Schizosaccharomyces pombe: one gene and its partners. The gene in region 3 interacts genetically with the main gene of each other region. Each region holds a gene or a part of one and is shown on either strand. Other genes may lie near its edges. The genes, in order: ypt7, rhb1 and btn1.

Evidence for each region.
Region 1: of btn1 (region 3) and ypt7, changing one suppresses a phenotype caused by changing the other (phenotypic suppression), as found in Schizosaccharomyces pombe (one study listed by BioGRID).
Region 2: of btn1 (region 3) and rhb1, changing one suppresses a phenotype caused by changing the other (phenotypic suppression), as found in Schizosaccharomyces pombe (one study listed by BioGRID).

Annotation. Positions count from the first base shown.
Region 1 is NC_003423.3:3,146,649-3,150,406, forward strand, and holds ypt7 (GTPase Ypt7), read right to left. Parts: upstream 1,745-3,758; 5' UTR 1,583-1,744; coding exon 1,502-1,582; exon of another isoform or gene 1,429-1,501; coding exon 1,105-1,428; exon of another isoform or gene 1,088-1,104; intron 1,043-1,087; coding exon 830-1,042; 3' UTR 448-829; downstream 1-447. Other genes in the region: SPOM_SPBC405.03C (transporter), read right to left, coding at 1-7; protein Atg16, read left to right, coding at 2,104-2,535. UniProt on the Schizosaccharomyces pombe protein: Ypt/Rab-type GTPases are key regulators of membrane trafficking and intracellular vesicular transport.
Region 2 is NC_003423.3:473,143-476,628, reverse strand, and holds rhb1 (Rheb GTPase Rhb1), read left to right. Parts: upstream 1-2,131; coding exon 2,132-2,193; exon of another isoform or gene 2,194-2,252; coding exon 2,253-2,511; intron 2,512-2,565; coding exon 2,566-2,802; 3' UTR 2,803-2,959; downstream 2,960-3,486. Other genes in the region: wpl1 (WAPL family protein), read left to right, coding at 109-1,609, 1,650-1,702, 1,748-2,002; SPOM_SPBC428.15 (Obg-like ATPase), read right to left, coding at 3,190-3,486. UniProt on the Schizosaccharomyces pombe protein: Binds GTP and exhibits intrinsic GTPase activity. Regulates entry into stationary phase when extracellular nitrogen levels are adequate for growth.
Region 3 is NC_003424.3:2,049,991-2,053,748, forward strand, and holds btn1 (battenin CLN3 family protein), read right to left. Parts: upstream 1,759-3,758; 5' UTR 1,663-1,758; coding exon 472-1,662; downstream 1-471. Other genes in the region: protein Mil1, read right to left, coding at 1-170. UniProt on the Schizosaccharomyces pombe protein: Involved in vacuolar transport and vacuole pH homeostasis. Also required for cytokinesis.

The DNA of each region.
Region 1 (3,758 bases), on a different chromosome or scaffold from region 3:
GCACCATTTTTTTCTATAAAATTTATAAATAATGATATAATTAATAAGAAAGGAAAACAAGTAAGATAAATTATGGATAGACTGTAAATTGCATTTATAAAGTGAACTGGAAGAAACTAAAAAAAATACTTCTCATCAAATCATTCACAAAAATAAATAATTATAAAATTAGGTCCATTTAAGAAGCTTTTCTAGTAAATCGAGTAATCTCACCTTAAAGTAGTAATGGTGGTAGGGAGGATGAATCTATAACAAACTTATATAAGCTGTACGCAATTTCAGTTTCTCTTACGTTTTCAAACTATACGATGATTAAAGCGCCAAATTGGGATTTTTTGCTTTGTTTATTTTGTTCAAGCCAAAGAACCATTCTTAATTGCTAAATTCCAAGTTATGGATTTTAATTGACTAAATACAACCACATCTTCTGATGCCACTAACTTTGAATATTCTTTTCAACCATATTTCTACAAATGTTTTTAATGTTAAAAGGTTGATATAAATAGAATTCATTTTGCTAGATCAAGCTAGTTTCAGATAAATAATAGAGCATCAATGAAAGCTAACGGCATAAGCAAAAATAACATAAAAGGCAGACACGTCGTACCAGAGGTGCACGGACTTAGTTAATCATTTTGCGAATAAAAGGCCGATCTAAATACTTTAACGGTTTCTATGCTCTCAACACTTAAATGAAGAGCAACATAAATGGGAAGAAAATGGAAATAAGAGAAAAGGCAAAGACTATCATAAGACACCAATCATGCAAATAAGAAAAAACCCATACAAAGAAATGTCCTTAATTAAGTAGCTTTAAGAAGAATAGGGTTTAACAGTAACATGAAGTTTTTTGACTCTCCATATCTAAATGAATAGGATCTGTAAAGTCTGCCGCAATATCGTCAGAATCCATGTTCTCCAGAGCTAACTTAGCCACTGTTTCGAATGCTTCTTGAACATTGATAGCTTCTTTAGCACTTGTCTCGAAATAGGGAATTTCTCCTCTAGCTTGGCAAAAGGCCAATGCTTTTGATTTTGAAACCTGAAATTATTAGCAAGAAATTCTCAGCTTTGTATTAAAAATTCAATACTTTAGACACATACCATCCTCTTTTGTTCTTCCACGTCGACCTTGTTTCCAAGCAAGATAAAGGGAAATGTCTCTGGATTGCTCGGTGATGCTTGAATCAAAAATTCGTCGCGCCAGCTATCTAAAGTTTCAAAGGACTTGCTGTTATTAACATCATAAACGAGGACACAGCAATCTGCGCCTCGATAAAACGCAACCCCCAAACTCTGGAACCGCTCTTGACCAGCGGTATCCCAGAGCTGTAATGTAACGACTTTGTCATCGACCAGAACTTCTTTGGTAAGAAAATCCGCTCCTATGGTTGCTTTATAATCTTTGCTAAACTTTCGATTCACATACTAAACAGATTTGGTCAATAACTTTCATTTCAAACATGACAGTCATAACATTAACATATTTCAAAAAACATACCTGATTCATGATAGAAGTCTTTCCAACACCGCTTTCTCCTAAAATAATAACTTTCAGCAAATGCTTCTTTTTGCCGGCCATATTTACAGCGTAAAAACGAGATAATTCGATATATTATTGAAGGCCAATAGTCCTAATTGAACCAAGAATCCTTTTGAGATCTGCAAAAAAAAATAAATTTATAAATTACTTCTTTCTTTGAAACGGAAATAGTTGCGCACGTTCCCTTGGTGTTTGCTCTGCGAGTATCAAGGCTTGTGAGTCTACCCTTCATATGCCTTTCACGTCATGAGTATAACGAACTTCATCATGCTTGGGTATTTTGATCAAAAGAAATATGGTAAACTTCACTATTTAAATAATTACTACATAGGCAATCCGATGTATACTGACAACTTTCTTATATGCTTGTCGAAAACAGTAATGATTTATTAATACATTGGTAGGAATCTAAGTTTTTATTTAAATTTTATTTTTTCAAGATTTAGTAGTCAATTTTTCCAGTTCTTTCATCTCGTCTCGTATTGAGTAAGTTGCTACCATATTTTGTTTGTGTTGTCTTCAAGAGAATATCACGCAGTCTCCTATCTAACTGGTGTTAAATGGAGTTAATTAAAAAAATACAAGATAGGGATGCTGCTGAGAAAGCGTATTACGATGTCATAGAACCATATTCAGAACTTTTGGAATTCAGTTTTCACAAAGAGTTTGTGAGTGAAGAGAAAGTCACCCAAAGGACTGCGTCAAGCGATTCTCTGAACACCATTGCTAGTGAGAATAATGACGAGAACGTAATAAACCTAGAAGAATTTCGGCAATTGAAAAGGAATTGTGATTTATATCAAAGGAATTTGCAAAAGCTGCAGCTGCTGTTCAAACAGCAATCCCAAAAAAACACACTCTTAGAAAAACAGCTTTCACTACAAACTGAGTTGAATCAGGAGAAAGATAAGCGGGTTAAAATACTCCAAGATGAGCTGTGGGCTTTACAACTTGAGGTAGCTGCTTTAGAGAGGAAATCTCCTAATGCCTAAAATTATCCGGGATTCAATTTTTTGTCGACAGATTATTTTAGTTATACTGTTAAATTTAGAAAACGTCGATTCGCGCTAGGTTCACTAATTATGATTTTACGAAATGTTTGTTATGCTTATGGATTAATATTAAATATTTTCTAGATGATTTCAAGTTAAAAAGGATACTTAAAAGCATAATGAGAGGTCTTCGCTTGTACTCGTCGTTCCAATTTTAGAAGTTACAAGCATAGACTATCTCTTCAGTGGTTGACCGCACATTTTTATGTCAATGGATATGTCCTTTGTATAATGAGGAAACATAAGCATTCAATTACTTGTATGAAGATTTTTCGGCATTAATATCTTCATGAATATCATTTTCTACATGGTCAAAATAGTAAATTTGATTATCTCAATTCAAGTAGCTTATGTTCCCCTTTTTATTTCCTTATCGGTAACGCCTACGAGTAATTGAATTTTCAATCTGTATTATTATTTAAGCGATGTCTTGTTATAAGTATTGGTTGAAAAAATATTATGCATTTCTTTAATACATTTGATTTTCGTCACTTGTATGCTTCTAATGAGATTGGTTCATGAATGACAACGGTTCAACAAAAGTATAATCTAGTTCTTACTGAGTAATCAAAACGAAGAATTATCCGGCGAAACAAAATATGTCTGCCCAAAGCTTTAAGTTGAATTTAATAATAGTTGCATAATTCTTTAAACTTTAGTATTTAGATAGTTCAGAAATATTGTATTGCTTGCAAGATTGAATATAAAAGCTTGGGTATCTAAGCGTAATGAATGTTACTATTTCCATTACTCTGAGCGACAATATGGATAACTCAGTACTAGTTCATAGTCTTTTAAGGTATACACAAAGAAAATTAGAAGGATAGGAAATAGAATAAGAAATATAACTTGTTTTATACAGGGTTATACTCAAAGACAAATATTTGATGCAAGGGTTTAATTTTAAAGACTACGATATACCTACAATACACTCTTTTTCCCTACTGCTATTTGGCATTCAATCAAATAAAGTGCTGCTTGTTAGAGCAGTAAGCAAAGAATACATTTATCATTGGAAATTTAAGTACGATTGGTAGTTTATTGATTCAAGGTAGCCTGCTAGAATTTGATATTTAATGTTAATCGATCAATTTTGTCAATGAGATTTTGTGTGGGCAATTGTTCACTTTAGTTTTCCTAAATTTCGTCCAGTGTATTTTTAT
Region 2 (3,486 bases), on a different chromosome or scaffold from region 3:
CGAAGGTTTTCACTCACTCGACAAGCTACATTGTGAGTTGGTACGACCGTGTTCCTCCATTTTTGTAAAGAATCGATGTCAAGCCAGGCGGATTGAAGAAACCTTGAAATGAAAAGAGGAAAATGTAAGGAAAAAGATAATGGTTTGAAGAGAATTTCTTCGGAATCGGAAGTTTGGAACTTTTTAGACGTGACAGTTTCAGAGTTAAACAAGCAAAAGCGCTCGCCAGGACAGACCGTGTCTAAACGACTGCATAAAAAGCAAAGGGTCGTTAGTAATCCTGATTTGAGTTTACCGTCTTCACCGGTAAAACAAATTTTAAGAAATGGACTTCAGAATTCAAAGTACGGTTCTCATAAGACAGGACTGGAAAGGTCCGCGAGCTGTAGTAGTATTGATGCTTCCGCAAACCATTCTTCCACTACCTATCGGGAACAAAGATCGTATTTGATGGAGGAAGGATTAGATACTCAGCCAATTGTACCCCGTGAAGTATCCTCTGGTCGAGAATTGGATTCAACCAACCATACTATTGGTACAGAACGTGCTTTTTTGATAGAGGAAGACGTATCAGAAGATGATGAAATTCAAATGAAAAGTATACATGAACTTCGCTTTGCTGGAGAGCAGCAAAGGATCGTTGATGAAATTGAATACTTAGTGGACGGAGTGACTTTCTCAGGTAACTCTTCTGCTTCTCGCTATTTGAGTTTAATAGGAATCGCTGAAAAAATGTTTGACAATTCATTTCGTTTATGCTTAAAGTCGATACGGGATGTCTTCTTGCGAATATTTGAAGAAATTGATCCTAAAGATACTTTACACACTTTTTTGCAGATTTATATATTTGCAACTATGGCTAATGAAATGGATTGCATGAGTTCCTTGCTTGATGCTTACTCAAACAATGTTAAACTTCTTTTGCAAACGGCTATTACTTTAGAACCGCAGGTACCGGTTTCAATTTTGGCAAAAAGCTTACCAAAAAGTGTAAAGGGAGCCGTTCAAGAATTCGTTATAAAGGCAGAGCTTACTTTTAGTTTTAGCAATGAGTCTCTTGCTTCTTCTGATTCTATCAGTCTTGCAGCTATCGCTCTTATGAAGACGTCCTCGGGAGTTTTTGCGGAAAGCGAGTTGTTTACCGAATTAATCAATCTTTTAATAGAAAAATCCTACCCCATCTTGAAGGAAAACGATGGAAGCAATAACTTCTTACTTCATGCACTTTGTAGTTCTTTAGAAAAATTTACGGATTTCCAGGGATCAGAAAAGATTCAGAAGGTTTCACAGATCTTATCCTCAAAGTTACAAATTTTAATTGATGAACACAATGAAACAAATTCACCAAAAATTGACGATACAGTTGTCCATGCATGCAGTGAAAAATTGTTGCGTACTTTGATTCAAACAGTTAATTCTAACAGTGATCATGCGTTAGCGGTTTCTAAATCAGAAGTCCCATTGTTTGCTTATAAAATTTTACAAAAGTTTTCTAATTTTTCGTCCGATGATGAAACTACACGAGAACTAATTATCTTAATCCTTGGTCTTTTACTAGGGCTAGTTGAGGAATCTCATGAGTTTATTCAAACTATCACTCATGTTGAAGGTAAGTTCCTTTTATTAATATTTTTACTAATTCTATTTAGTTTCTTTCGGAGCTTCAGCACTCGATGTCCTCATTTCGTTTTATCAAAAGAACGTAAGTTGTACTACTTCTGTTGTAAGACATTTCTAACAAATGTAGGAAAGTATCGTAGAAATTAGTGGATATGTCGTAATGATTTTAAGCCATTGCTTTTTAAATGATCCCAAAGCGTTTGCCCAACTCAAGCCTTTGATATCTCAGTTTTACGAATCTCTACATAAATTTAAAAATTTTCATTTGAAATTGAAAGAGGAATTAATGATGATGGGTTCTAATGGACTAGCCATTGTTTCTATAATTGATGAACTACATAAATCGTTGCAAGACTACTTGCGCAGTGACTTGGTAAAATGACCTTTGCGGCGCGCTGGGAACGTGACATCCACAACATCGTTGCTTTCACTCACTTTTTTTTACGATCACTCTATAGTTAATAATTTGCCTTTTTAAATATTATAATCTTGAAATTTTCTAATTTAAACAATGGCTCCTATTAAATCTCGTAGAATTGCTGTTCTTGGCAGTCGTTCTGTTGGAAAGTCCAGGTAAGCGTTTGATTGAAGTTTATGCGCAAATAGGTTTACTAACCATTTTTTTTAAATAGTTTAACGGTGCAATATGTTGAAAACCATTTCGTTGAATCGTATTATCCAACTATTGAAAATACATTCAGCAAGAACATCAAGTATAAGGGTCAAGAATTTGCTACTGAAATTATCGATACGGCTGGTCAAGATGAATACAGTATCTTAAATTCTAAGCATTCCATTGGAATCCATGGCTATGTACTCGTTTACAGCATTACTAGCAAATCTTCTTTTGAGATGGTTAAAATAGTTCGTGACAAGATATTGAATCACACTGTATGTCAAATTATTAGAATTTTTAAATTTTTTACTAACCTACTTGCTATTAAGGGTACTGAGTGGGTCCCCATTGTGGTTGTTGGCAATAAGAGCGACTTGCATATGCAGCGTGCTGTTACCGCTGAAGAGGGAAAAGCATTGGCCAATGAATGGAAATGTGCATGGACAGAAGCTTCAGCTCGCCATAACGAAAATGTTGCTCGAGCATTCGAGCTAATTATCAGCGAAATTGAAAAACAAGCAAATCCTTCCCCTCCTGGTGATGGAAAGGGTTGTGTTATCGCCTAAGCTTCTGCTTGAATTTATCATATTATGGATTAATTTATTTTAACTGAATTAACGATTTTATCTTTGCTAATGCAAGATATGGGCTTACATTACATGAGGTGATACTTTGCACACAAACGTGTTTTTTTACACATGGGTTTACAAGATTTCGACTCTTTATTTCAAATATACAAGTACCTAAACTATGGTTTTAAAATTTAGTCAATGTAATACATAGTGGAGAAAGTACAGCCAGACATTGTAGACGTAATTTGTTGAGTTAGCTCTTCGGAAGTTTTAAACTAACCAAATTAATTTTTAGACATAGTATTGTTTATTAACATCTATACAAAACTATTTTGAATATTTCCCAAAATCGACCTTTTACCACTTTTCTTCATGAATCACTTAAGCTTCAGCTTTCCGCAATCGAAAGTGAAGGATATCCGTTTTACCTGGGACAATAACATCAGATTCGCCGACGTTTCCATTTACACCCACAATAGACATTGCTTCTCCACCCAATACCATTTGAGATACCTGTCCAGCAGTCGTTCCTTGCTTCACTAAGATGCAATCTCTGAAAACACCTTCATTAGGAGAGTTTGCAAAATTGTGAACGTTTTTAACGGGAAAAACTGGAATCAAATTTAAAAGTTCCATTGCCTTTGCTAAAACATTACAAACTCCAGTTGAACCGTGTCG
Region 3 (3,758 bases):
TCTCTAAAGACGTCCAATAATTGAGAAAGATATTTTACTATTTCAGGATCCGTGTTATCGATTATTGACTCTTTCTTCTCTCGCATTTCACCAATTGTACTAGCAATTAAAATTGTATAACGAGTACAAGCATCATCGTCAAATAAGGATATGATTTTCTGTTCTGCCATATTATCTAAAAGAAGGAAGATATGAAAAGGAAAAAATTAAGTAATGTATGTTTTGATATGATTCGCATAGAATGCACAGCAGAAAGTAATTGTGCACCAAAAGTTTAAGAACTTCTGGTATCAGGAATTAGGAATGAAAAACTTCTTCTTTCAAAGCAAACCTATTAAGAACTAAAAAAGTAAACAATAGTTGAAAGAAAATGGTCGTAAAGCAAACTTGATATTGAAGCACTTAGCACACTAATGGAAGAAACGTCATAGGTTAACTCTCAATATAATGGAGATGTGCGCACTCACTATTTCAAGTTAAGGCACACCAATCTCGGCCACGATCAGCTTGGAAATGGCACAAGGAGGGTTCAAGGAATAGTGATACCAATGAAGCTAAAAAAATTCCAGAGCTATCTGAAGAGCCAACAGTACTAATAGCTAGTTCACGCTGACTACTCTCCGTAGTCTGCAAACTATGATACACGTTCACATAAACGGTACCACCAATAAGACCCTCAACGAATATGAGGAATAGTACAAAATGATAGCTGGAAGTAAGATATAGGGCCGACTGTAGTATAGTAAATAGAAGGATAATGAACTGTGTTATTGCCAATGTGCGCAAATATGGGACAGTAAAAAATGAAATGGAGGATCGCGATAGGAAAACACCAATCTGGTAAACAGTTTGGTAAGTAGGATAAAAATCCCTAAACGAAGAAAAGCCAGCTTTTTCGGGCGGGAATAAAAGAGTGGGAGCTACACCAATATTGATAGTATATTCTGAGAAGTATACAAGGAACTGCGGAAACATATGACTAAGAAGGTATGGTTGCATGAATATGAATGTTTGCTTCAAAGAATTAACGAAATTGAATGAAACGTGCCCTGCTCGAAGATCAATAGATTCAATTGGCGTATAATTGTTGTTAATTGAAGGTGATGTAGATTCAGACTCTGGCAACACAAAAAAGTACATGATCAAAAGGAAAAGCGGCAGAAAGCTAGAGATAATAAGTGTGCTGCGTACCGAGAAGTTAAACCATGTAGTCATAACCAAATAGGAAGATGCACCAAAGAGACCGGCCAAGCCTGTTCCGGAACTCCAGCACGGTAAAGACACAGAGTGATAACGACTTGATAGATGCAAGAAAGAGATTTCGCCAAAACTCGATGAAATGGCTGCCAGAGATACACCAAGCATTTTCGAAGGGACGGAGGAAGACCAAGCAATCCATTGCATTCCTAATATGGACATGAAAACACAAAAACCGATTCTCTTTGCAAACTTAAATTTATGAACATGAAGAATTGATGCTGACAACTTGCACGCCAAAGAAGGAACAATATTAGAAAGTAGTACCACACCCTTAGAAACGTTTGCGCCAACCAAATCTAAGGCAGCGGATAAAATTATCACGTAGAGAAGGTTGTTTAACAATCCAAAAATTAGGAAGCAACACCCTACTTTCGCATCTTTTGTTAACCTCAATTTAATCATGATTCGTACTATATTTAGTAGAAACTGAGGTCATAAATTTTAGTTTGAACCGGCAATACGATAGTAGACTTTTGTAAAGTGCTAGTCTACAAATTTGCTGTTGTTTCGCAAATAGCACACTTTAAAGCCCTTCTATCGATGACTTCATAGACGAGTTAACTTGTTACAAACTGTAAATAGCGAGGATCAACGAACTGAAAAGCAAGTCGAGATATGTTTAACATTTATTATTCGAGTAGCAATAAGTTGAAGAAAAGAACTCGTAAGCGCTTAAGGGTACAAAAAAAATTGAGTTTTTAGTAACTTCGTAAGAGAAAGGCTACTACCCTTCACGAATGGCGTATTGAGCGATTGAATTATTACGGTAATGTTGTCAGGTTCAAAAGAAACCGATTTTGAATGTTACACTGTTTTTTCCAAGCAACCGCTATCAAGCTAAAGCTTACCCTACTAAAATTTCAACGACTAGTAACTGACATGCCTTGCTTGCTGTGATCGAAAAGCTCCTAGTTTACTCATGCTTCGGTTAGCACTTCTTGAAATCTCCCAGGAAAACAATTACAACATCTTTAAATATTCTATTCACGTGTCTACAGCTTCTACTTATGAAGTTATTGTTTTTGGCACGAGATTTATTTTGGTTTAATTCCGATCTTCGTTTGCTTATGTTTAAAAACTCTAAATCGTAAATCAAAACAAATTGAATATAATATCGTATGAATGTGTCTTTACCGAACTACGGTTAACATCGTTATTGCATTATCACTTTGCTCAACAATAATATAAAATAGTAATACGCATGTATCTACTATAGATATTTCGTATTGCTTAGTCAATTTTTTTTTTTTTTTTTTACTAAATGAAGGTTTGACGCTCCGTTACGACTGTTTATAATAACGAATTGGAAACCGAACCGAAAAATCATCTCGTTCATTATCAAATTTGCCTTGTTTGCTTTGACCCATAACACATTACATTTAACAGTAATGGGATCATTATGTTAGTTACTGGGAATTATATTATGCTTGATGCTGTACTACAAATTTATAATACTGTCCATAGAAAGTGCGATATTGGCGTTTTAACGAGCGTTTCGCTATCATTCTCTAGTTTACAAATCGCACCTCACCATGGTTCATAAATCCAGCAGCTACAGCAAACAGCTGTTTGCAGACGCACTTTAGAGTTTGAATTTTAGAATCTCTTTTAAGTAAAGCTAAGAGACTTATAATCTCTTAGATTTCCTTTGGTTTTATATTAACTTCAATGAGCATAATGAATTATTATGCGATCACAGTGCCATCGACATGTTTCAACATTTTTTAAGCACATGCTGTTAATACTATTTAATCCACTAAACTTACTAATGAGAGTATCCTTTTAATCTACTGATAAACAAAAGGAGTTTTCGTGCTGTAAAATGGTAATTTTACAGTACCACCCTCTCCCTGTAATCGAAAATGCATACCAGATATGATGATGCACTCATTTTAACTCTCTTTAAACTATTAAAGTATATTCCATCATTTCCGTACCCTCGTTTCAGAATGTTCATATGCGACTTGTATAAACAACTCATATAATCTGAATGCAAAACTTCCCTCATTGTTAGAGATGATCATGTGTAGATCATCAAGTAAAAAAGATGGACGATGTGCGCTTCAATGAGTTAACACTCGCATCAAGCTTTTGGTAAAGCCTTTGACTCCTATTTTTTTTGCTCAGCCTTGTTATATTTTGTTTAAACCAGTAAGAAACTGATTAATAAAAGTTTCCCCACACTTTTGAATGTTTTGTCGAATAAGCACTGTTTTTCTGTTTGTTTACAGAGTCGATTGTTTCGGTTTGAGTGATATTTAAAGCAGCATTTTTTTTGTATATATAGAGCCTTTAGTACGAACTTTCTTTTCTTTACCGATTGATTTTTGTCAAATATCATTACTGTTGCATTCTTATCTTCTTGTGTCAATATTTTTTTTTCGGCACCTTGTGCTTCTTCTGATCGCAATTTTGTTTAGTATCGATATCGCGATTTTTTTGACTCTTCTTTCTTTAACTCTGGAACGCTCTTATTAGGGTGTTGTATTTATTTATTT